Mytilus edulis: one gene and its partner. The protein of the gene in region 1 binds, or shares a complex with, the protein of each later gene. Links are inferred from orthologs where the notes say so. Each region holds a gene or a part of one and is shown on either strand. Other genes may lie near its edges.

The links.
Region 2: the proteins of DNA repair protein REV1-like (region 1) and DNA polymerase kappa-like are in contact, whole or in part, in an NMR structure (PDB 2LSI), measured with the Homo sapiens proteins. The link is inferred for Mytilus edulis from reciprocal best matches to the Homo sapiens genes REV1 and POLK. Residues at the interface, in NP_057400.1 of Homo sapiens: Asn1158, Leu1159, Ala1160, Gly1161, Ala1162, Asp1167, Leu1171, Leu1172, Glu1174, Trp1175, Thr1178, Ile1179, Met1183, Glu1185, Asp1186, Gln1189, Val1190; in NP_001374042.1 of Homo sapiens: Lys564, Lys565, Ser566, Phe567, Phe568, Asp569, Lys571, Arg572, Arg575.

What each region holds. Positions count from the first base shown.
Region 1 is NC_092347.1:84,714,280-84,725,050, reverse strand, and holds the start of DNA repair protein REV1-like, read right to left. Parts: upstream 4,369-10,771; 5' UTR 4,240-4,368; intron 1-4,239. Other genes in the region: perivitellin-2 67 kDa subunit-like, read left to right, coding at 6,797-7,024, 8,744-9,324, 10,373-10,532. UniProt on the Homo sapiens protein: Deoxycytidyl transferase involved in DNA repair. Transfers a dCMP residue from dCTP to the 3'-end of a DNA primer in a template-dependent reaction.
Region 2 is NC_092347.1:19,013,775-19,024,956, forward strand, and holds the start of DNA polymerase kappa-like, read left to right. Parts: upstream 1-6,757; 5' UTR 6,758-6,896; intron 6,897-11,182. UniProt on the Homo sapiens protein: DNA polymerase specifically involved in DNA repair. Plays an important role in translesion synthesis, where the normal high-fidelity DNA polymerases cannot proceed and DNA synthesis stalls.

The DNA of each region.
Region 1 (10,771 bases):
CCATTCCCGCCCAATTTTTATTTGCCTTGTGTTTAATAATTTGTAAACGTCAACTTTGGTAGGTGTATTGCTATAAATATATATTTTTTCATTGTTTTTAAATAAAGTAAAATTCTGACAACCAGTATTTATTTTTGTGTTGAATAATTCTTTACCATATTTTGATTAGTGTATTATAATAAATATTTTTTTTATTGTTTCTAGTAAATGAAGTGTGAATATGACAACATTATTTTGGTGTTGAATAAATGGTAATTAGCATGGTAAGTGTTTTGCTATAAATATATAATTTGTTCATTGTTTCTAAATATAGTGAGATTCTGACAACGTTTTTTTCAATGTGTTGAATCTCGAGTGTTGAATAAATCTTAATCATGTTTAGGTAAGTGTTTTGCTCTATATATCTGTTACAGTGAATTTGTAGAATCACTGGCCAGTTTAGGGATTATACATAATCACTAAAAAGTTCAGGAATTATGTATAATCACTAGAAAAAACGTCAGGGATTATACAAAATAACTGAAATGAAGAAAAGTCAAACAAGTGAAACTGCGAGCTACTGCTCACTGATGATACCCCCGCCGCAAGTGGATAATATTAATAGTGTAAAAATATGCAAGTGTTCGGTAAACAGGAAGTTGTTGAGTGATGAATCTGAAAACGCATCACACAGTAAAGCTGACTTATATAAATCCTGAAACCAAATTTCAGAAATCCTTGTATTGTAGTTCCTGAGAAAAATGTGACGAAAATTTTCAACTTGGCTATCATGTGTAAAATCATACAAGTGTTCAGTAAACAGGAAGTTGTCGAGTGATGAATCTGATAACGCATCACACGGTAAAGCTGACTTATATAAATCCTGAAACCAAATTTCAGAAATCCTTGTATTGTAGTTCCTGAGAAAAATGTGACGAAAATTTTCAATTTGGCTATCATGTGTAAAATCATACAAGTGTTCGGTAAACAGGAAGTTGTCAAGTGATGAATCTGAAAACGCATCAAACGGTATGGCTGACATATATAAATGTTGATACCACATTACAGAAGGGGTGGATGTGTCGTTCCTGAGAAAAATGTGACGAAAGTTTTGTGGGACGGACTGACTGAAGGACGGACTGATGGACGGACTTAAAAATATGCAAGTGTTCAGTAAACAGGAAGTTGTCGAGTGATGAATCTGAAAACGCATCACATAGTAAAGCTGACTTATATAAATCCTGAAACCAAATTTCAGAAATCCTTGTATTGTAGTTCCTGAGAAAAATGTGACGAAAATTTTCAACTTGGCTATCATGTGTAAAATCATACAAGTGTTCGGTAAACAGGAAGTTGTCGAGTGATGAATCTGAAAACGCATCACATGGTAAAGCTGACTTATATAAATCCTGAAACCAAATTTCAGAAATCCTTGTATTGTAGTTCCTGAGAAAAATGTGACGAAAATTTTCAATTTGGCTATCATGTGTAAAATCATACAAGTGTTCGGTAAACAGGAAGTTGTCAAGTGATGAATCTGAAAACGCATCACACGGTATGGCTGACATATATAAATGTTGATACCAAATTACAGAAAGGGTGGATGTGTAGTTCCTGAGAAAAATGTGACGAAAGTTTTGTGGGACGGACTGACTGACGGACGGACTGATGGACGGACAGACTGACAGACAGAGGTAAAACAGTATAACCCCCCTTTTTTAAAGCGGAGGATAATAATTTAAGCTATAAAATCATATTTAAACAGCATAACACTGTAAAACATCAATTGTAAAATGTTAAGCACAAAATATCAAAATGATAACCCTATTTTTTTTAAATGTTAGGCACTTTATATTAAAATGTTAAACACAATATATTAAAATAATATGCTTCACATCTGTTTTTACCACAATATCCACATTTTAGAAAATATTTTTCTTCACATATCGAATCAGATTTTATGACCCGCCTAAGAGAAATAAAGTGTTCAGTAAAAACATCTGCTGTAGGTACACCCCAAAAAAGAAAAAAAGCAACCTGGAACTGGTTCGAGCAAGATACCATGTTTTTTGGGACAGGCGATATCCTTTTTCAGACTTTTGGTGAACAATTACTAATATGTTTTTTGGATTCCCTTTCCTTTTTTACTTTGTGGAATTTCAATGAGAATATTACACAAAATGCCAGCTTCCTCTAAAATATTATTACAATTGTCAATCCTTAGTTTTTCTATACATTTCGATCTGTAAGTTCTCTGTTTGAATTTCTTGTTCATTTGAAAAAAAAAAAAAAAAATAACAGATGTTCCATAATCTTCTTCACCATTTGTTTTACATATACCACAAATAACATGCTCTGTGGATTAACAAATAGAACATGAATATCCATTTGACACTGGCTTTTAATAAACAAACAATACAAGTAAAGTAAATGCTATAAAGGGAATCTTGATATTATTATTAATTTTGTAGTCTTCAACTTTTATCTCGAAACCCTGTGTTGGTTATACATTGTATCTTTAAGACATGTAAGATTATCCTCTGTATTTAAAAGCAAAATTATTTCATTTGGCAAGGAATATGAAAGTAAAAAATGATAATTTGTCTATTATATATTTATTTTTTGTTTTTTTATGAAACAAAGGATCCTTAAATTATTCATAATCCCTGAAATTATATTAGGGAATTTGTAGAATAATTATTGAAATGTTCCGTGATTATGTAAAATTACTGGTCATTTTCAGGGATTATATATAGTTACTAATGATTTTAGTGATTCTACATATTCCCTGAAAAATATAAATTCACTGTAACATCTCTATATATCTAAACACACGAGATCAAAGGAGCCGATTATGAATGTTTTTTATTTAAAATCTTCAAAGTGTTATACTCCTACCAAGCTAATAAAACATCAATCATGATTTTAAACACTCAACAATAACACCGGATTAGGCTGTATATGAATACCAATTAGCAGTAATCATACGTAATTAACATTTAATAATTAATCAACGAAACAAAAATCTATAAAATAATTCCTCAAATTTTATTCAAGAAAATAGAATTATTTGGTATATACTGTGACGAAAAAGTTTAGTATGGGACTTGAACTAAAGTGTGTATCCGTGTGTTTGTGCTGTGTTGTTTGGTGTACAAGTTTCAGGTCGTGCCTTTCACTTGTAAACGGACAACAAATGCCACACTGTATACTCATTAACAGGGTAACCCTTGAAACCTATTGGTAGCATGATTAAGTGAATTAATCCTGGTCACATAAATAAATAAATGGATCCTGGTGCAGTTTGAACAAAGTCTTGTAAGTGAACATAAACACGAAGTGGAATAAAAGTTCAATACTGTATTAATAAAATCACACAAATATATAAAGTTACAAGTATAACAAAAAGTACATCTAACATCAGGCTCAACAATACGATTCTCCCCTCTACTACATAAACGTTACTGTCCTCTCCTTTCTATAAATTCTCTCTCCCCCTTATCTGACACTCTTTCTCTCTTTTTTATCACTCCTACAAGCCCATATACAAATATAGACTACTAGGGCAATCGGGCTCTGTGTATTCCGTGTTCCGGTAATCCTTACTCCTAGCTATAGTGTTCCTGCTCCTTACATAAATTTACTAGGGCACCATATGCAAATCATTAGGGTTCACTAGTCAAACAAAGAAATCTAAACATAACTCTTAATCAATATAATCTCTGATGATCTTTAACTGTATTAAATGGCTATGTGTGAAAATACAGGTGCATGTAAACCTGATACAATCAGATAACACACTTAAAATATATCTAATATTTCAACTGAAATTCGAATTAAAATTGGACATAAATTTATAGGGTCGGAATGGATTTACGGGGCAAACATGTGAGGTGTGAACGTGTAGGGTACGAAAGTGTATCAGCCGCGAACGGACCATTGGGGTCCCTTTGCCACAGTTTCAGAGTAATCACGGACTGTGTGTAGTCTGGTTTGTTTTGTATATTTTTACTACAATGCTTGAAAACACGTCGTATCCCTATCAAATTCTTTAGTCATTTGAGATTTTTTCTGAATTATTTGAGATACATATGTATGACCTGATGACAAAACATTCAGTAACACTCACAGCCGTGTACCCTTGTTACTGGTACATAATAATTAAGGGGGGTTATAGTATCAATTCACGAAACAGCTATACTTCGTCCCTTCTCTCTTACAGCAGGGACATAATATCGCTTTTATTTACATGAATATTACCTATATTAATGATTGTATCAATGTAAACTACGCAACATTTCCTTCTTTGCTTGGCTTGCAGAAAAACGGCGGGAATTCCGAGGATTACTTTTTCCGGTCATTCGGTATGCCTTGGTAGTCTTCATAATCTCTATTCTCTAAAAAGAAATCTCGAGCAAAGATTTTATATGCTGAGACTACTATATGTATAACACATATGTTATAGAAGTCTCATAAATGTTAGTCAGTTAAACAATATTTTATTTTCAAAAGTGCACAAAATACAATTATACAATAGAAATATAGGGATTCGGAAACAAGAAGAACTTATAAAAATCCTGGAACAATTGTACTAAATTTAATATAGTATGTCTCAAGTCCACCGGTCCTACTAAAAAGCGCCCGGAAGCGCCCGAGAGCGCCCGGGAAAAGAAAAAGCGCCCGGGGAAAGGAAAGGGCACCCGGGGAAGGAAAATTAGCGCTCGGGGAGAATAAAATAATAATATTTTATAACAATAAATTTTTTCCTTAAAAAAAAATAATCATTGCTTGTTTTGTCCTTAATATAAATGTGGATATATGGTGCCTGAAGTCTAATATTTTCGCAACTGCATGGTGAACACTTTTTTATGCAGATGCTGATATACATTTATTATATCTTTTTTATGAAACTAAAACTGTTTCAATGGCTATGCTTATCAGGGTTTTCAAGTACTGCTTATTTTTAAATTTAAACCAAACTCCTGCTTTTTACCCCCTTGTTTTAACTACGGTACATGTATAGTACTGCTTTATTTGCTGATGTATTATGTGTAACTCTTTTAATTTTGATTAAATTAATATTAATCTGTGAAATTTTTTATTTTCATATCGTTTTTGAAAAACATGCCTTTTGATGTCTTACATTTTATAAATCTTCCGCATAAACTGTGATCCATTATAATCAGTCTTTCAAAATAGTATTCATAAATTATATTATTGTTAAAATTGAAACATTCATACTTGTTTTATTACAAATGTCTATTATCTGAATTTGAAAATTACTTGTCTAAAATTTAAAAAAAATAATGTGCATAACTTATTTCATCAACACAAAGTTGTCTCATGCCAATAAAATATCTATATATTTTCCCCGGGCGCTTTTTCTTTTCCCCGGGCGCCTTTTCTTTTTCCCGGGCGCTATTTTTTCTTCCCCGGGCGCATTTTAGTAGGACCCCAAGTCCACCTTCAGTAAATATTTTTTATGCTTTCAAGTTGATCAAATGCCAGACGAGAATCAGACTGAATGTTCGATAATTGAATAGAGCTCTAACAATGGAAGTAGGCTAATATACGAAGATTTTATGGCTATACATTTACACAAGAGAATTAAGATGTTTATAAATCAAACTGAATGTTCGGGAACTGAGCAGTGGCGGATCCAGAGGGGGGCGTAGAGGGCGTACGTTCCCCCTTTGCTTGGAATTTTTTTGTAAAATGGTTAACCAGACTAGACTTCGTGAACTTTGTCATTTCCCGTGTATTTAGTTTTTATGCGACAATTCTTTACTTCGAAAGATGTTTTTCGCTCGTATTTACTTTTTTATATTATTGGTTATGTCAAAGGAGTTAACCAGTGCGTCGATAAAAAGTCACTCAGTCATTTTGAAATTCAAATTTCAGTTACACATTGCCTATGCTGAGGGTGACAAGCATGACACCTTTAAAGCGACAGTAGGTTTAAAGAGCTCTTAAGAGCTCATGTTCATTATTATTATGTATATATGCAACTTTTATCCCATTACATACAAATATATAAGATGAGACATAAATTGAGAAACATAAAAAAAACAACATATTTTTACATTAACTGTTAAATAAGGTTGGTATATATATAGTCCCATGAAGCTGTGATGAGGGTCAATCTTTAATTTAAAGAATAGAAAATGTGACTGGCTAAAAAAAAGAAAGAATACTGAGATGAATGATAAAAAAGATTAGAACAGAGAATGATGGGTGCAAAAGTATAAAGAATACAGCTGTAGAAATACAGTACTGATAAAACTGAGAAACGGAGGATAAAGAAATTTACGTACTATGATTATGCCACTATACAGAAAATTTGAATAATGAAATAGTCATTTTGTGAGAATTTTTACAGAATATTCAAACCTTCCAGCTTTTTTTTTTTATCTTCCTCGATGGAATAACAAACGATAGAGAAAATGTACAATACAACAAAAGCAAATCAACAATTAAAACAAAACATTACATAGATTCAAAACAGTTCAAAACTAGAGAGTGGAGAGACAAAATAATAACTTTAGCGGTTTATATATATGTTTTTGTTGGCATTATCAAGTCTTTCAACATATTATTATTTTGGTTTTATCTGTGGTTGCTTTTCAATTCAATCAATACAAATATATAGTTTATTAGTTTATAAAACAGTATAGCTTTTTAGTTTAGTTGCTTTTTAAAATTTAGCGTGCAAGCACGATAACAACAAAACACCAAATCTAGTTTTAAATTTCTCTGACAAAGTAACAGCTTGAGTGACTGTATGAACGCGTAGCAAGGCAAGAAATCGAAGCAAGCAATGCTGAAATTTCTTCAACTAGAAATATTTTTCCTTTGTCTTCTTTTTCCTGTTATCTTTACAGCAAAACCATGCGCAAACATTCCACCATTTCTCAACCGTTTACGAGATGGCGTTGATATAACAAAACTTGACCTACTACCATTAAGTCTGGCCAGTAACGACGGATTCAGAAATCCTGTGATTGATTATACCTGTGACTTCAATATCACAAGAAACTTGGATGGGGTAAGTAGTCATAGGATTTACATAAGTATCTAGCCATGAATTCTTACTAAATGTGTAACACGTATATGTGTCATCCAACTGCAGATTACAATATCATAACATTTTAATATTCGTGTACATGCATAATGACCCCGTGATGTATTACAAAAATGTATCTGAATGATATACTTGCGAATGTGTTTGCCTATCACAAATTCAGATTATGAAAGTTACATATCAGCATCAGGTCAAACGTTTAGAAAAATGTTGTTTGTTCTGTATTTAGACCACTCTACCAATAAATTCGTTTTCCATCCACATGTATAAAAATTGCGGTTATATTATCCAACGCAATAATAGGTTTGAACGTTATTTTCAATTTAGACTTGTATATATCTGACCGGATGGAGTGCGATATAAACTCTACAAACTATTCCTGGTAATCGATATCAGTCAACCTGGATAGTTTTAATTTTGCACATTACATTTAAACTATTCTAAACACGTATTTTATAAAGGTCAAAATCACATGTAAAAATATGCAAAGTAGCCCATCTAAAGCACACCGAATATTAAACATATACGCAGTCAATGCAAAGCAATAGGGTATCACCAGCCCAGTAGTTAGCACTTTTGTGCTGACATGAATTATCATTGATATGGTTATATTTATAAATTAACTGTTTACAAAATTTAGAATTTTTGAAATACTAAGGCTTTTCTACCTCAGGCATAGATTACCTTAGCTGGATTTGGCAAAACTTTTAGGAATTTTGGTCCTTAATGATCTTCAACTTCGTACTTTATTTGGCCTTTTTAACTTTTTTGGATTCGAGCGTCACTGAGGAGTCTTTTGTAGACGAAACGCGGTCTGGCGTATATGCAAAATTTAGTCCTGGTATCTATGATGAGTTTTTTTATTCACATATAATGAAAAAAAACCAACATGTTAAACTAAAATACGATTTTGCGCCATTCAGAAAATGTTTCATGCATATAACTAAAACAAATTATAAAAAATTTTGAAAGGTGAAATCATGAGGTGATTTTTTTTTACAATTCCAAACAAATATGAGATTTCTGACCAGTGGCGGATCCAGAAATTTTCATTATGGGTTGCAGCCAGGCCTTAATGATTCCCTATATAATCAACCAAATTTTCCCCACAACAACGGGTGGGTGGGGTGAATGGGAACACTGGACCCTTAAATTTACCTCTGTAAACTGACCCAAATAAGAATGTTTGTACAAGTTTTCCAGAAACACGCTTTTTAACACACTTTTTAAGCAATTTATTTCATTAAAATGTCTAAAGAAAACTTAGATTTAATATTACAATTTCATCACCAGCCCAGTAGTCAACACTTCGGTGTTGACATGAATATCAATAACGTGGTCAGTTTTATAAATTTCTTGTTTACAAAACTTTGATTTTTTTTTTTAAATTAAGGATTTTCTTATCCCAGGCATAGATTACCTTAGCCGTACTTGGCACAACTTTTTGGAATTTTGGATCCTCAATGCTCTTCAACTTTATACTTGTTTGGCTTTATAAATATTTTGATATGAGCGTCACTGACGAGTCTTATGTAGACGAAACGCGCGTCTGGTGTACTAAATTATAATCCTGGTACCTTTGATAACTATTCAATTGATTATTACATTTTTTCAATCAAAGTTCTTTTATTTTTATACGATAGAAACTTTTCTTACAATTGAATGTCATACAAATGTTTTCAGATTGTCTACAGCATACCAGATCAAGTTTGGAGTATTGTAAATATTCCAAGTGGATTACTTGATACCCGTGTTGAAATACATAAGAACAGTCATAGCTTTAAAAATTCCCTGGCAGTAAAAGTTGGTATAAAAGTTTTTGGAGGATTATTTTCTTCAAGCTTGACATACAAGAAAGTACAAAGCTATTTCAGCAGTGGATCAAAGTATGTTGAAGATTTGACTTCCCATACAGCTGGGTTTAAAGTGAACATGATGCCGGAATGGGGACTTGAATTCGGTCAATTTGCTAAAATTTATATTGAAAAATTCTTGCCACACCATTTGAATGATACTACTATTACGAAGTACATGAGATTCATTGAAACTTTTGGAACACATTACTTTAAACAAGGGCGATTTGGAGGTATACTTCGACTTTTCCTGGCTACCGATACAAGTTACTTTCGAAAAGGCTCGGAAAAGAATGTTGAGATAGAGGCAAAATCAATATTCAAAAAGATTCTTAGCATTGGTGGAACATTTTCTATGAGTACAAAAAGTGATGATTCAAAATTTGCAGAGGCTTCAAGGAAGTTTGTAAGGTAGGTTATTTCAATTAGATAATAAAGGATTGAAGAACATTAACATTATATAAGATAGCATATTTTATTCATCTTTATCCAATTAAATTACTAGGTACCGAGCTAAGATCTTCATTGATGCCGTTTTACTAAAATGAGGAACACGAACATGAACCAACCACAACCACTGAACTTCAGGCTCCTGACTTTGGACAAGTACATAAAGAAACGCTTAACCCTCCCTGGGACAGTGGTGTAACAGCACAACATAAAAACAAAATATAAAAATCTATTGAAAAAGGCTTAACTCATCAGACTGATACAAAGCAAAAAAACACCAAACATATATAACACAAAAAATAATTTAAAAAAAATATATCATGTAAGAATTTAGAACAAAATCTACAAACCAACAACAAGAGGAACAACGAGATAACACAACATTTGAAAAATTGATTATAAGTTGTCCTATATTTGCAAATTCATTCTACACAATATTCGAAATATATTTTCGAATTTATGCATTGGTAGACTTCGGCTAGTTTCTGCTCTTTGGTCGGGTTGTTGTCTCTTAGACACTTACCCCATTTCCATTCTCAATTTTAAATTACTTTTTTTCTCGATATTATTATGCAATACCACATGCTGTTGCTATTTGAAAAAAATCATAAATGTGCATAAATAGATCTCTAACGTACCCGTTACCTTAAATGGGCATACACATGGAAGTTTGTTTTAGAAAGGCAACGACAATAAGGGGATAACATAAAAATAATTGGCAGTTTAGAAATCTAAACTGCATTGAGAACTTATTCATTGCAGTATACAACATAATAATATATGTTTAAACCATTTTAATTTGTAAACTGCTTAGTTTTCTTGTTAATTTAAGATAATTAATAAAAAATAAATTTTGCAGGCTCTGTTTTCCCCATCAATGTTTGACAATGCTCATAGTCTTGAAATTTTAGTTGTTTAGTAAATATCGACTGTCGACCATCAAGGCCGGCTATAGTAATTAGAATCATCAACGATTGTAAATGTTGATAGTTGTTAATTTGCATTTCAGATATTATGGAGGAAAGACTAATTTACTAGCAGAAGATAGTATTTCTACATGGCAACCAACCGTATTAAAAAATCCTTGGCTTTATGGAGGGGGTTTGGTAGAAATATCTGGAATGATTGAAGGTGACACCAAGAGACTGTCCATGCAAAAGGCCGTTCAGGTAAAACCCAAAATGTCTAGAGCTTCTATTTGCATTACATTGATAATATAACTCCAATTTGTATATTAACAGTCATTTATGATAAACGAATATTCAATTCTGCCCTAAATTAAGACGACAGTAGTTTTCCGATGTTCAAATCTCGTTAAGGATGTTTGCTCCTCTATTTGTTGAATTTTTGCCAGTTTTTCGGAATCCTCTGGTTTTATCCATGTATTAACATCAAAAATTTTTGCCCA
Region 2 (11,182 bases), about 66 Mb from region 1:
ACCTGAACGTATAAGATATGTCTACACAAGGATTTGTATAGTAAGACTTACTAAAAAAAAATCATTATTCTACATGTTAATTTATATTTACGAGTGATGTCCTTATGCCGATGATAAAATTTAGTGAATGTATTGCATGAATAAAGTTTTTTTTTTATTTGTCCTTTTCTGTTTATAAATCAAGTAATTCTTTCATTCAGTTATGGGTTTTTTTTTTGTATTGTTTGTTTGTTTGTTATGTGTTTTTTTAATCTGATATAGCCGTGGGTCCTTATGTGCCCATTAATTATGAATAAACTTATTTAATTCTATTCTATAATCTATTCTATAATGGAGAAAAAGAAAGAAAAAGTCAGATAGACGAATTCGAATCCGTGCAGTAGAATTCCTAGGTCACAATGCTTATGTGAGCTAGTTTATGCCTCATTTACCTCAAGATAATCGTTGGGACTCATTGACAAGCTTTTTCAAAAGTCTTAAGGTACTGTCGCAATTTGTGCTGTGTACATAATATTTTTTTGTTAGTATCTTTTAATTATTTTAACGCACCAAAGACATTTTAAACCCTTATTCAATTTTATTTTTGAATTATATTTTATCATATTGTAACAAGAATCACATTCGAGGTCCATACCTTTGACTGTGGTACATGCAATTTTTTGTATGCCGTCAATGTTTTGTTCCATATAAGAGATCCATCTGTCCAGAAAAAACTGATAGCTCCCACTACACCATCTACTTCGTTGTTTTAAAGCTGTTAAAGGCAAACAAATGGAACATCACATTTATGTTAAATTGTACCGTTGTCCCTAGGCGTAGGTTGTATCTCTGCGCATCAAACTCCTTAAATGCTAAATTATATAGGTCCCTCATTTAGGTTGATATATTATCTCCTAACACACAGAAGATACAGCAAACAAATATTATATGCATTGCATATACATGCTGTATAGTTTCCATGCTGTGTTCGAGCACTTGCACTGTAAAACATAAAATTTTGAAATGCCGTATTCGAACACAGTTTGAAGAAAATAATTGATCGAACATTTATTTACAATATGGCTTTTGTATTTGCGTACCCGAAAGATTAAATAGTGGTTTTTTTTTTTAAATAGATGCATTTGCAACGCATGTGATATTTTCAAAGGTAAACATCCCTTTGTGTTTTAAAGTAACACTTTCATATAGATAATGTAGAAATATGGATTTACTGTCGAATTATAACCAATTAAATCGGTTTAGAGTTGGTTAAGCAAAGATCATATGAACGAGTGTGTCATGATATGTATTTAAATATGAACAACATGGCTATCATCACTAAATGCGTTCTTCGAGCAATATGTCACTTAAAAGTCGCTTCAGAAGTACTCACACGTTTTAAAAAAATATACCTGCAACTATTTCACGAGCTATATGGTTGCACAAAGTCCAGAAATATTCGTGCAAAATTACAGATTTGGACAAATTTCCCGGTCTTGTCCATAAATAATAAATATAAAAAAGAAGTGGTATGATTGCCTATGAGACAACTCTCCAGAAGGGACCAAATGACATAGAAATTAACATCTCTAGGTCACCGTACGGCCTTCAACAATGAGCTGGCCCATACCACATAGTCGACAGCTATAACAGACCCCCCCCCTCGAAATGACAAATACTGTGATTAAACAATTTACAAACGAGAAAAACTAACGGACTAATTTATATAAAAAAAAAATCATAGTGAACAAAAGAACAAAAAACATTAACGGTTATTTTTTTTCTTATATGAAGAAATAGTTGACACTTGACGTTATGTCTCTTGTTTGTGTGTCTTTAATGATGCTCGAAATCTAAAATCTATTAAAAAACCTGATAAACAGTTTATGCTTTGAAGGGTTTTTAAAGTACCAGAAATGTTGAAAAAATCAATTCTGCGGAAAGCCAGCCGTGCAATATTCGGATTAATATAAAACGCATCATCCGAGTTTATTAGTACAAAATAATTAAAACAGTAAACGAATAATTTTACTGTACTTAAATTATTTGTATGTTCGCTTTAAATCCGCATGAAATATTTGCAACTGGACGATGAGCATTTCAGTCAAAAGTTAATTCATAAGTTACGGATTAAATTTGCAATTATGATTATCAATTATCGGACAGGTTTGGGGTTACGAAATCGGACACGTTTGGGCAATAATGAATATTACGGACAAGTTTATGGAGAATAGACACGTTTGGGGGTATCGGACACGTTTGGGGGATAGACACGCTTGGGAGTGTCACAACTTGACTTTCAATGATGGGTAAACAGGCACCAAATATCTAGATAAATGGGGAATGTGCCCATTAGACACAGATGATGACCCTGCTTGGATATAGGATTATCAAGATACATATTAACTCAAGAATCGGATAAAAGTGAAACTACCTAAATGCATGCTTAATCTGTCTTTTATGGTAATACGCATTGCGTTGTAGTTTCATAATGTTTGCTTGAGAACAAAAACAAAAAATTCCGCATATATATAAAAAAAAAAAAAAAAAAAAAAAAAAAAAAATCCATTTGTAAAGGGCCATAACTCTATAACAATTTAAGTGAGACCACCAAAATTCAAACATGATACCATTTGAATGAGACAAACTAAAGTTAGAGAAAGTAAACGAAAAAATTTTTATACGACGCAAAAATAAATTGTGGTCGTATATTGGTATCACGTTGTCGACGTCCGAAGACAGTTTGTTTCCGGACATTAACTTCAGTAAATAGAAATCCATGAAATGTATACGCAAGGTTTATAACCGCTAAGGAAGGTTGGGAGTGATTATGGGGGTTATGGTCTCAACAGTTTAGGAATAAGGGGTCAAAAAGGGGCCCAAATAAGCATTAAGTCAGGAGCCTGTAATTCAGTAGTTGTCGTTTGTTATAAATGTGTCACATATTTGTTTTTCGATCATTTTTTGTACAAAAATTAGGCCATTAGTTTTCTCGTTTAAATTGTTTTTGAATGGGTAATTATGGTTGCAAACTCCATTAGAAATATGAATTGAGACTGAGACTACTATAACACATTATAGTAGTCTCAGATTGAGATTATAACCATATCTTCAGGGAAAGAATTTATTTTGGAAAAAGTAAAATAGGGGGAAAAAAGGGGGTGATGGAGTGCTTACTCGATTCTCTCGTAGCGAAATCGGCTAGATAACGGAAAATTTCGAAAATTAAACCTAGATGGGCAAACGAATATTTCTTTTCTATATATTGTTGTTAAGTATTTCAAAAAATGCTCATCTGGTAAGTGGAGTGCTCCTAATATAAACGGAGGTGCATTGTACATACTAGAACAGAACAACAACAACAATAATTTTTATTTTGTCAATCAAGACGCCCCGAGGAGCAGTACAATTATACTAGTAGTTTAAATTAAAGTGTACAAATGTGGTGATTTTTTTCATTGAAGTTACAATACATGACAATAAAACAAAAACTATATTATATAAGAGAAGGGAGACAACAAACACAGTATATATTCTCAAAGATAATGAGTGAGTGAACACAATCAGTACTAAAATACAAAATAGGAAAATTCCACGTAGAATCCTTCAGAAAATGCACTGTTTTAGAGTTACCTCCCCTTAAAATGCCAATTTAAAAAAAACTAAAAACAACCAAAAATAGTGTACATTTACAAAAATATTGATATTTATAAGTTATATTCTTATAAATTAGTTCTTATAAACGAAAATTCACATTAAATATCTTTATTCCTGCATCAAATTTTGCTAACTTGATGGAAAATCTAGACCTTTGGTTCTCTGTTTTTTACGATCCAAGATGGAGGAAGACACCCATACCACCTTAACAAATATTCTGGGGTTAAATTCAGATATTTAAATAATGAATAAATGCTTCCTAACCAATTGTCTTTATATGTTTTAGATAAAATTTTGGACTCTTCAAATGCTTCTTTAATGAGAGAGTTCTTTTGTTCTGCAAGTCTGAGCCAAAATTTAGTCATATTAAGAATAACCTCAAGAGATAGGGGGTAGCGCCCCAACTCTCCCATCACTGCTAGGTTTGTTGATCTTCTAGGTACCTGTAGAGAATATTTACAAAATTTAACATGTAATTTTTCGATAACTAGATCTTTGCACATTTGGAAAAAATATTTGTCTTCTTTAGATTGTAACTTATTTGGAGAGAATTGGCCCCAAATTTCTGAGCCATATAACAAAATTGGCTTCAGTATGTGGTCAAAAAGATGTCAGGGCCGTAACTAGCTTCTTTTAAAATAGTTATCAAAGGTACCAGGATTATAATTTAGTACGCCAGACAAAATATATTCGCCGAGCGAAGCGAGGCGAAGGGTCTGGAGGCCGCTCAAGGCCCTCAGAAGCTCTGAAAAAAATGACGCAAAATCGTGCATTCTGACCGTTTCCCGGACTCTTTCTTACTCTGAAACGCAATTAAATTTTTAGCTATTTTTTCGACAATATTCTGGTCTCAAAGCAAAATATATAGATTCATTGTAAATAAAAACTTTTAGGTTTAAGGGACAACATCAAAAGACCGATATGTAGGATAAAGCAAAAATCGTAATTCTCATAATCATTTTGATACCAGATCTGTCTGTTCTTGTCTTGTATTGTGTTTAGACTTTGGAAGAAAAAAAATATGACTGAATTTAGATATAGTGACAGTGCAGTATTATACTTTAAGTACCGCTTAAGTCGACATTAGGGACCATCTTGACTTTGTTTTATGGTATTAATGATTCTTTCATTGCTGAAGACCCTCAGGTTAGCGACTATCAAGATGAAGAACAGGGATAAAAACCCTGATCATAGATAATTTGTATTTTTTTCTATGTATTGACTCTGTGTGCGATTAAGTCCCGTGCACGTTTACTCCATATTCCTTTATTTTGTATTAAAGGGTCTGATCACGACTTAATTGCAAGCGCTTCAATGTAAAAGGTCATATATGGCAATACATTGTTGGTTTTTTTTCAAATGATTTGATACCGCGAGATTGGTGGTCTCACTTTAATTTAACCCATGTCAGCTATCTAGTTTTATCTACAAAAAAGAGAGCCAGTTTTGTATTCTTTAATATTAAATTCAATTCTTCATGAAGAAACGACCAATTTTTCTGTGTCCAGTAGCATCGTATCTTCTTAAAATATTTTCTCGCACAATGTCTGGACATCGGTGGACATGCAACATTGCCAAAAACCATACAACCGTTCACCCGTCATCGTAGATCTAATTTCAAATATTCTTACAATTGAATGTAGTTTTTTCAATTAGACAAAAGGTCCTTCAGTATAAGAAAACTCAAGTTTTAAACAAAATTACTAGATTTACAAAAGAAAATCATCACTTAGACTATAGTCATAAAGTAGGACAATAAATGAACAAAAGACAAACCCGGGTACAGATAAGACACATAACTACAAACAAAAGACCATCAACACTGAAAACTAAAAGTAAATTAGAAACATAGATCACGAAAAACATGCAGGGGCGACATCAGATAGTGAAGAGAACATGCAGGGGCGACATCAGAGAGTGAAGAGAACTTGCTTCTTGCAAGACACTCACCGTGAAAACAATTTGATATGAAGACAAGCTTTTGTTTCAATTTTTTTTTTCAAATTTCCAACATGAGGCATTTGCCTCATTTGCCTCCATGTAGTTACGGCCCTGGATGTAAAAGTGTTTTAATATTAGGTTTAAAATGGGTGAAAAATCTTTTTTATTTAAAAAAGGCTTTTAATGCTTTACTAAAATTGAGAAAGGAAATGGTGAATATGTCAAAGCGACAACCACCCGACCATAGAGCAAACAACAGCCGAAGGCAACCAATGGGTCTTCAATGCAGCGAGAATTCCCGCACCCGTAGGTGTCCCTCAGCCGGCCCCTAAAATATGCATAATAGTACAGTGACAATGGACGCCATACTAAACTCCGAGTTATACACAAGAAACCAAAATTTAAAATCATACAAGACTAACAAAGGCCAGAGGCTCCTGACTTGGGACAGGCGCAAAATTGCGGCGGGATTAAACATGTTTGTGAGATCTCAACCCTCCCCCTATACCTCTAACCAATGTAGTAAAGTAAACGCATAACAATACGCACATTAAAATTCAGTTCAAGAGAAATCCGAGTCTGATGTCAGAAGATGTAACCAAAGAAAATAAACAAAATGACAATAATACATAAATAACAACAGACTACTAGCAGTTAACTGACATGCCAGCTCCAGACTTCAATTAAACTGACTGAAAGATTATGATTTCATCATATGAACATCAGGCACAATCCTTCCCGTTAGGGGTTTAGTATCATACCATAAGTTATAAAGATTAAACTTAAGTTAATTAATTAATTATTAGCATCTGTGTAAATCTGCCAGATACAGTGAATATCATGCCAAGATAATTATATTTTTTCTCATTATTAATAAGCTGACCATTAAATGTGAATTTTTTTTTGATATTCTTCCTGTGTTATTAAAAATTAATACTTTTGTTTTTTTCATGTTAATTTCTAGTCCCCATTTATTACAATAATCCATTAATTATCTAAACAATTTTGTAATCCAGATGAAGTTTCAGAAATCATAATGAGGTCATCTGCATACATTAAACAGTTAAGGCTACTGTTGTTTAGTAAAACTGGACAATAGCTAGAATCAAATATTTCAGGTAAATCATTTATGAAAAGTTTAAACAATGTAGGGCTCATATTAGGAACTTGTGGGATAGTTACTTCCCTTTCTGTTACTCTTTGGTAAAAAATTGCGGGAAATGTAACTCAGCAAAAAAAAATGTGGTAAACATCGCGGTCACTGGTCTATACCATCCTCAACAACAGCAACTTTACAATACAGCAAGTGCATTGCAGTGGTAAACGACGAATCCCTTTATTAAATTTTTAATGTTAAAAGTACAACGTTCATCATAACAAATGAGCAAATATTTAACAGGTTGGGAACAAACCCTCTATACAGTATATGAGGGGGGATAGGACCTTTATCGGGACTCCGGGATCGGGTGTTTTTAAGCTCGGGATTTCGGGATTGACCCTTTCGGGATCCGGGAATACTTTTTTTCTGATTTCGGGACGTCGGGATTTACTTTATTTAAATTCGGGACCTCGGGATTTCGTGTTTTTAAGCCCGGGATTTCGGGATCAGGACCCCTCCTATCCCCCCTCGTATATGGTGTTTATACCTTTTTTATAAGGATAGAGCCTAGAGGGATAATCCTTTTATAGTCAGAGCACAGGAGTTTGAAATCCTATCAATAAGGGGGTAAAAATATACCAAAGTCGACTATCACAGTAGAGCTTCTTCCCCCTTATTGATAGGATTTCAAACTCCTGTGGATAAATCTAACAATAGAAATTCTGTTCAGTGAGACATAACTGAGTAGAATTTACCTGATCATCACAGCTTTCAATCATGGTGAACAATAGATTGTATATTCAGTCAGTTCAGCAGTAAACTGGGCATATGCATATTAAACTAAGCACATCAATTGGTGCATCAAATGTTGCAGGTTACTGCCATAATAAGTATAGAATGCCAATATGCCTTAATTTGCTAAAAATCCAGTCTAAACAAAAAGATCTGTCCATAGAGGGGTCATTTTATCCCTCTATAAAGGTATAATCACTAGGTAAACGGACAGAAAGTCACAGGACAAAAAGTCACAGGACATAAAGTCATTCATCACAGATGCATTATTTTAAAGTCTGATTTTTTTTTTGCAGCACGCAAGTTGGTCACTTTGGTGAGTCAATCACCATCAAGATCCATCAACCACTTTCCGTGTTTTTGAATAACATCACATTATCCAAATTGCACCCATTTTCGCCCAAAAAAACAATGGAGATGATATAGGTTTAATCGTTTGTCGATCTTTGTCAACATGCAGGTTTTTTTAAACAAAGATTTATACACTTACATGTATATATTGCTCTTGCTGTTGCTAATTTAATATGGGGTATATAATTAGTGACATTGTAAATATGGTAACTGGACGTCTGTCAAAATTTGAGGTAATTCGATATATATATGACCTCAATTAATAGTCACGTCACATTAAAAACGTATTTAAGCAAACATCACTATAGCAACAACCTCACATTAACTTTACTTTGCATTCACATTTAGAAGTGAAGTATTTAACCTGGGTTCGCCCCTCATTAACTCCACCTTGAATGAGGGGTAATTTTATTCTGGGTTCGCCCCAGATTAAGGCGTTCACACTACCTAAATTTAACCCGCATTAATTAATTGGGTCGACCCTGGTTTAAAAGGGCATAGTGTGAACAGGGTATAATTCATCAAACTTTTATTTACCTCCAAGTCAATGGGTATGATTTGTTTCTGCTACCTTACCTCTTCATAAACTGCTGGCTCTTTTAAAGAAATTTAGTCTTTCTGCAGAAGAAATCAATTTTTTAGCTCACCTGGCCCAAAGGGCCAAGTGAGCTTTTCTCATCACTTTGCGTCCGGCGTCCGGCGTCCGGCGTCCGTCGTCCGTCGTCCGTCGTCGTCCGGCGTTAGCTTTTACAAAAATCTTCTCCTCTGAAACTACTGGGCCAAATCAAACCAAACTTGGCCACAATCATCATTGGGGTATCTAGTTTAAAAAATGTGTGGCGTGACCCGGTCAACCAACCAAGATGGCCGCCACGGCTAAAAATAGAACATAGGGGTAAAATGCAGTTTTTGGCTTATAACTCAAAAACCAAAGCATTTAGAGCAAATCTGACATGGGGTAAAAATGTTTATCAGGTCAAGATCTATCTGCCCTGAAATTTTCAGATGAATCGGTCAATCGGTTGTTGGGTTGCTGCCCCTGAATTGGTAATTTTGAGGAAATTTTGCTGTTTTTGGTTATTATCTTGAATATTATTATAGATAGAGATAAACTGTAAACAGCAATAATGTTCAGCAAAGTAAGATCTACAAATAAGTCAACATGACCAAAATGGTCAGTTGACCCGTTTAGGAGTTATTGCCCTTTATAGTCAATTTTTAACCATTTTTCGTTAATTAAAGTAATCTTTTACAAAAATCTTCTCCTCTGAAACTACTGGGCCAAATTAATCCAAACTTGGCCACAATCATCTTTGGGGTATCTAGTTTAAAAAATGTGTGGCATGACCTGGTCAACCAACCAAGATGGCCGCCATGGCTAAAAATAGAACAAAGGGGTAAAATGCAGTTTTTGGCTTATAACTCAAAAACCAAAGCATTTTGAGGAAATCTGACATGGGATAAAAATGTTTATCAGGTCAAGATCTATCTGCCCTGAAATTTTCAGATGAATTGGTCAATTGGTTGTTGGGTTGCTGCCCCTGAGTTGGTAATTTTGAGGAAATTTTGCTGTTTTTGGTTATTATCTTGAATATTATTATAGATAGAGATAAATTGTAAACAGCAATAATGTTCAGCAAAGTAAGATCTACAAATAAGTCAACATGACCAAAATGGTCAGTTGACCCCTTTAGGAGTTATTGCCCTTTATAGTCAATCTTTAACCATTTTTCATAAATCTAAGTAATCTTTTACAAAATCTCCACTGAAACTACTAGGCCACAATCATCTTTGGGGTATCTAGTTTGAAAAATGTGTCCGATGACCTGGCCATTCAACCAAGATGGCCGCCACGGCTAAAAATAGAACATAGGGGTAAAATGCAGTTTTTGGCTTATAACTATGAAACCAAAGCATCTAGAGCAAATCAGACAAGAAGTTAAATTGTTAATCAAGTCAATATCTATCTGCCCTGAATTTTTCAGATGAATTGGACAACTGGTTGTTGGGTTGCTGCCCTCCAATTGGTAATTTTTGGAAAATGACGCAGTCATTGTTCCATAACTGCCGACCTGAACTTCATTACATTGCTCTGCCTACCGCGCTTGGTTTCGTATTTCCTATTTTCCAAACAAACTGGAATCTGCTTGTGTTATCATTATGCATCATTGTGTAGTATTAAACCAGCCAGGACCCAGTTTACACTGGTTTTTGCTTGTATTCCACTACACTCGAACAAAGTGTTGTAGTTTGACGGGAACCAGTTTTAGAATTTGTAAACTACAAAACGTAATCGGTTATTGTTCATTCCGTTTTGGTGTTTCATACCGACTTATATGGTTTGAATAAGCTTAAGACCATTCAAACATTAATGTGATAGGTATATTAAAGATTGTTTTACAAAAGGATTGAACTGTTTTACTTTCAAAGTCGTACTATAGGGATATCTGTCATATACGGATTTCCACTCTCACCGGTTAATTTCTTCTTTTACACGTGCTTTGGAAACTTCCTGTTTAATCGCAAGTTTTAAAATTGTTTTTGAGTGAATTAAACTTATTTTAACAATCATGAAGCGTTCCAGAATCATTTTAAAGCAGTTTCTTCTTCTCTTTGATGATGGAAAATAGGTTTTCTCAAGAAAATACCGCAAACGATCGCAGAGGAATTGAAACGTACAAGTCAAGTCGGCACCTGGTTAAATTGGCATCTAGTCAAATCGGCACCTATTCGACGTCAATTCGGCATCCAATAATATTTGATATAATATTTTCTATTCAATTAATTAATTACTGTTACCAAGTACATAGTGAATATGTTGTTGTGTATTTTGGTAAACCACGAAACGAAAGTGAATATGTAGTGTATAAAGGTAAACAACGAAGCCCTTACCAAAGCTGTTGTTTTAACAATTAGACAATTTGTGTAATTGTAAAAACAAGTCAATTATTAAAATAAAATGGAAAACTATGAGTCCCTTTCAATAAATCAAACTTTCATGCCAAATAATTAGCAAATTTAAGGTGTTTGTTTTTCAGTAAAGTTTAAACAGCATTAAACCAACAATCCTGTAAAATGCTCAACTGGTTAAAATAATGCAGAAAAATACACAATATCTCATGTATTAGTCCAAATAATTATGACGTCTGGCAAGGCTATTTTATTATTTTTCTGGGACGCCTTCCTACGACGTTCAGGTGCCAATTTAACTAGGTGCCAGTTTGACTAGAATTCTTTGACAAATGTTTGAAACTATCTGAGTTTCATTAGACCTTTGATAGCAGTAACAAAAAGATTGTTTACTTAATATTTTGTGGGAGAAGGGGGTTCAGACTGTGTGGCATCAGGTCTGTTTGTGCCCAA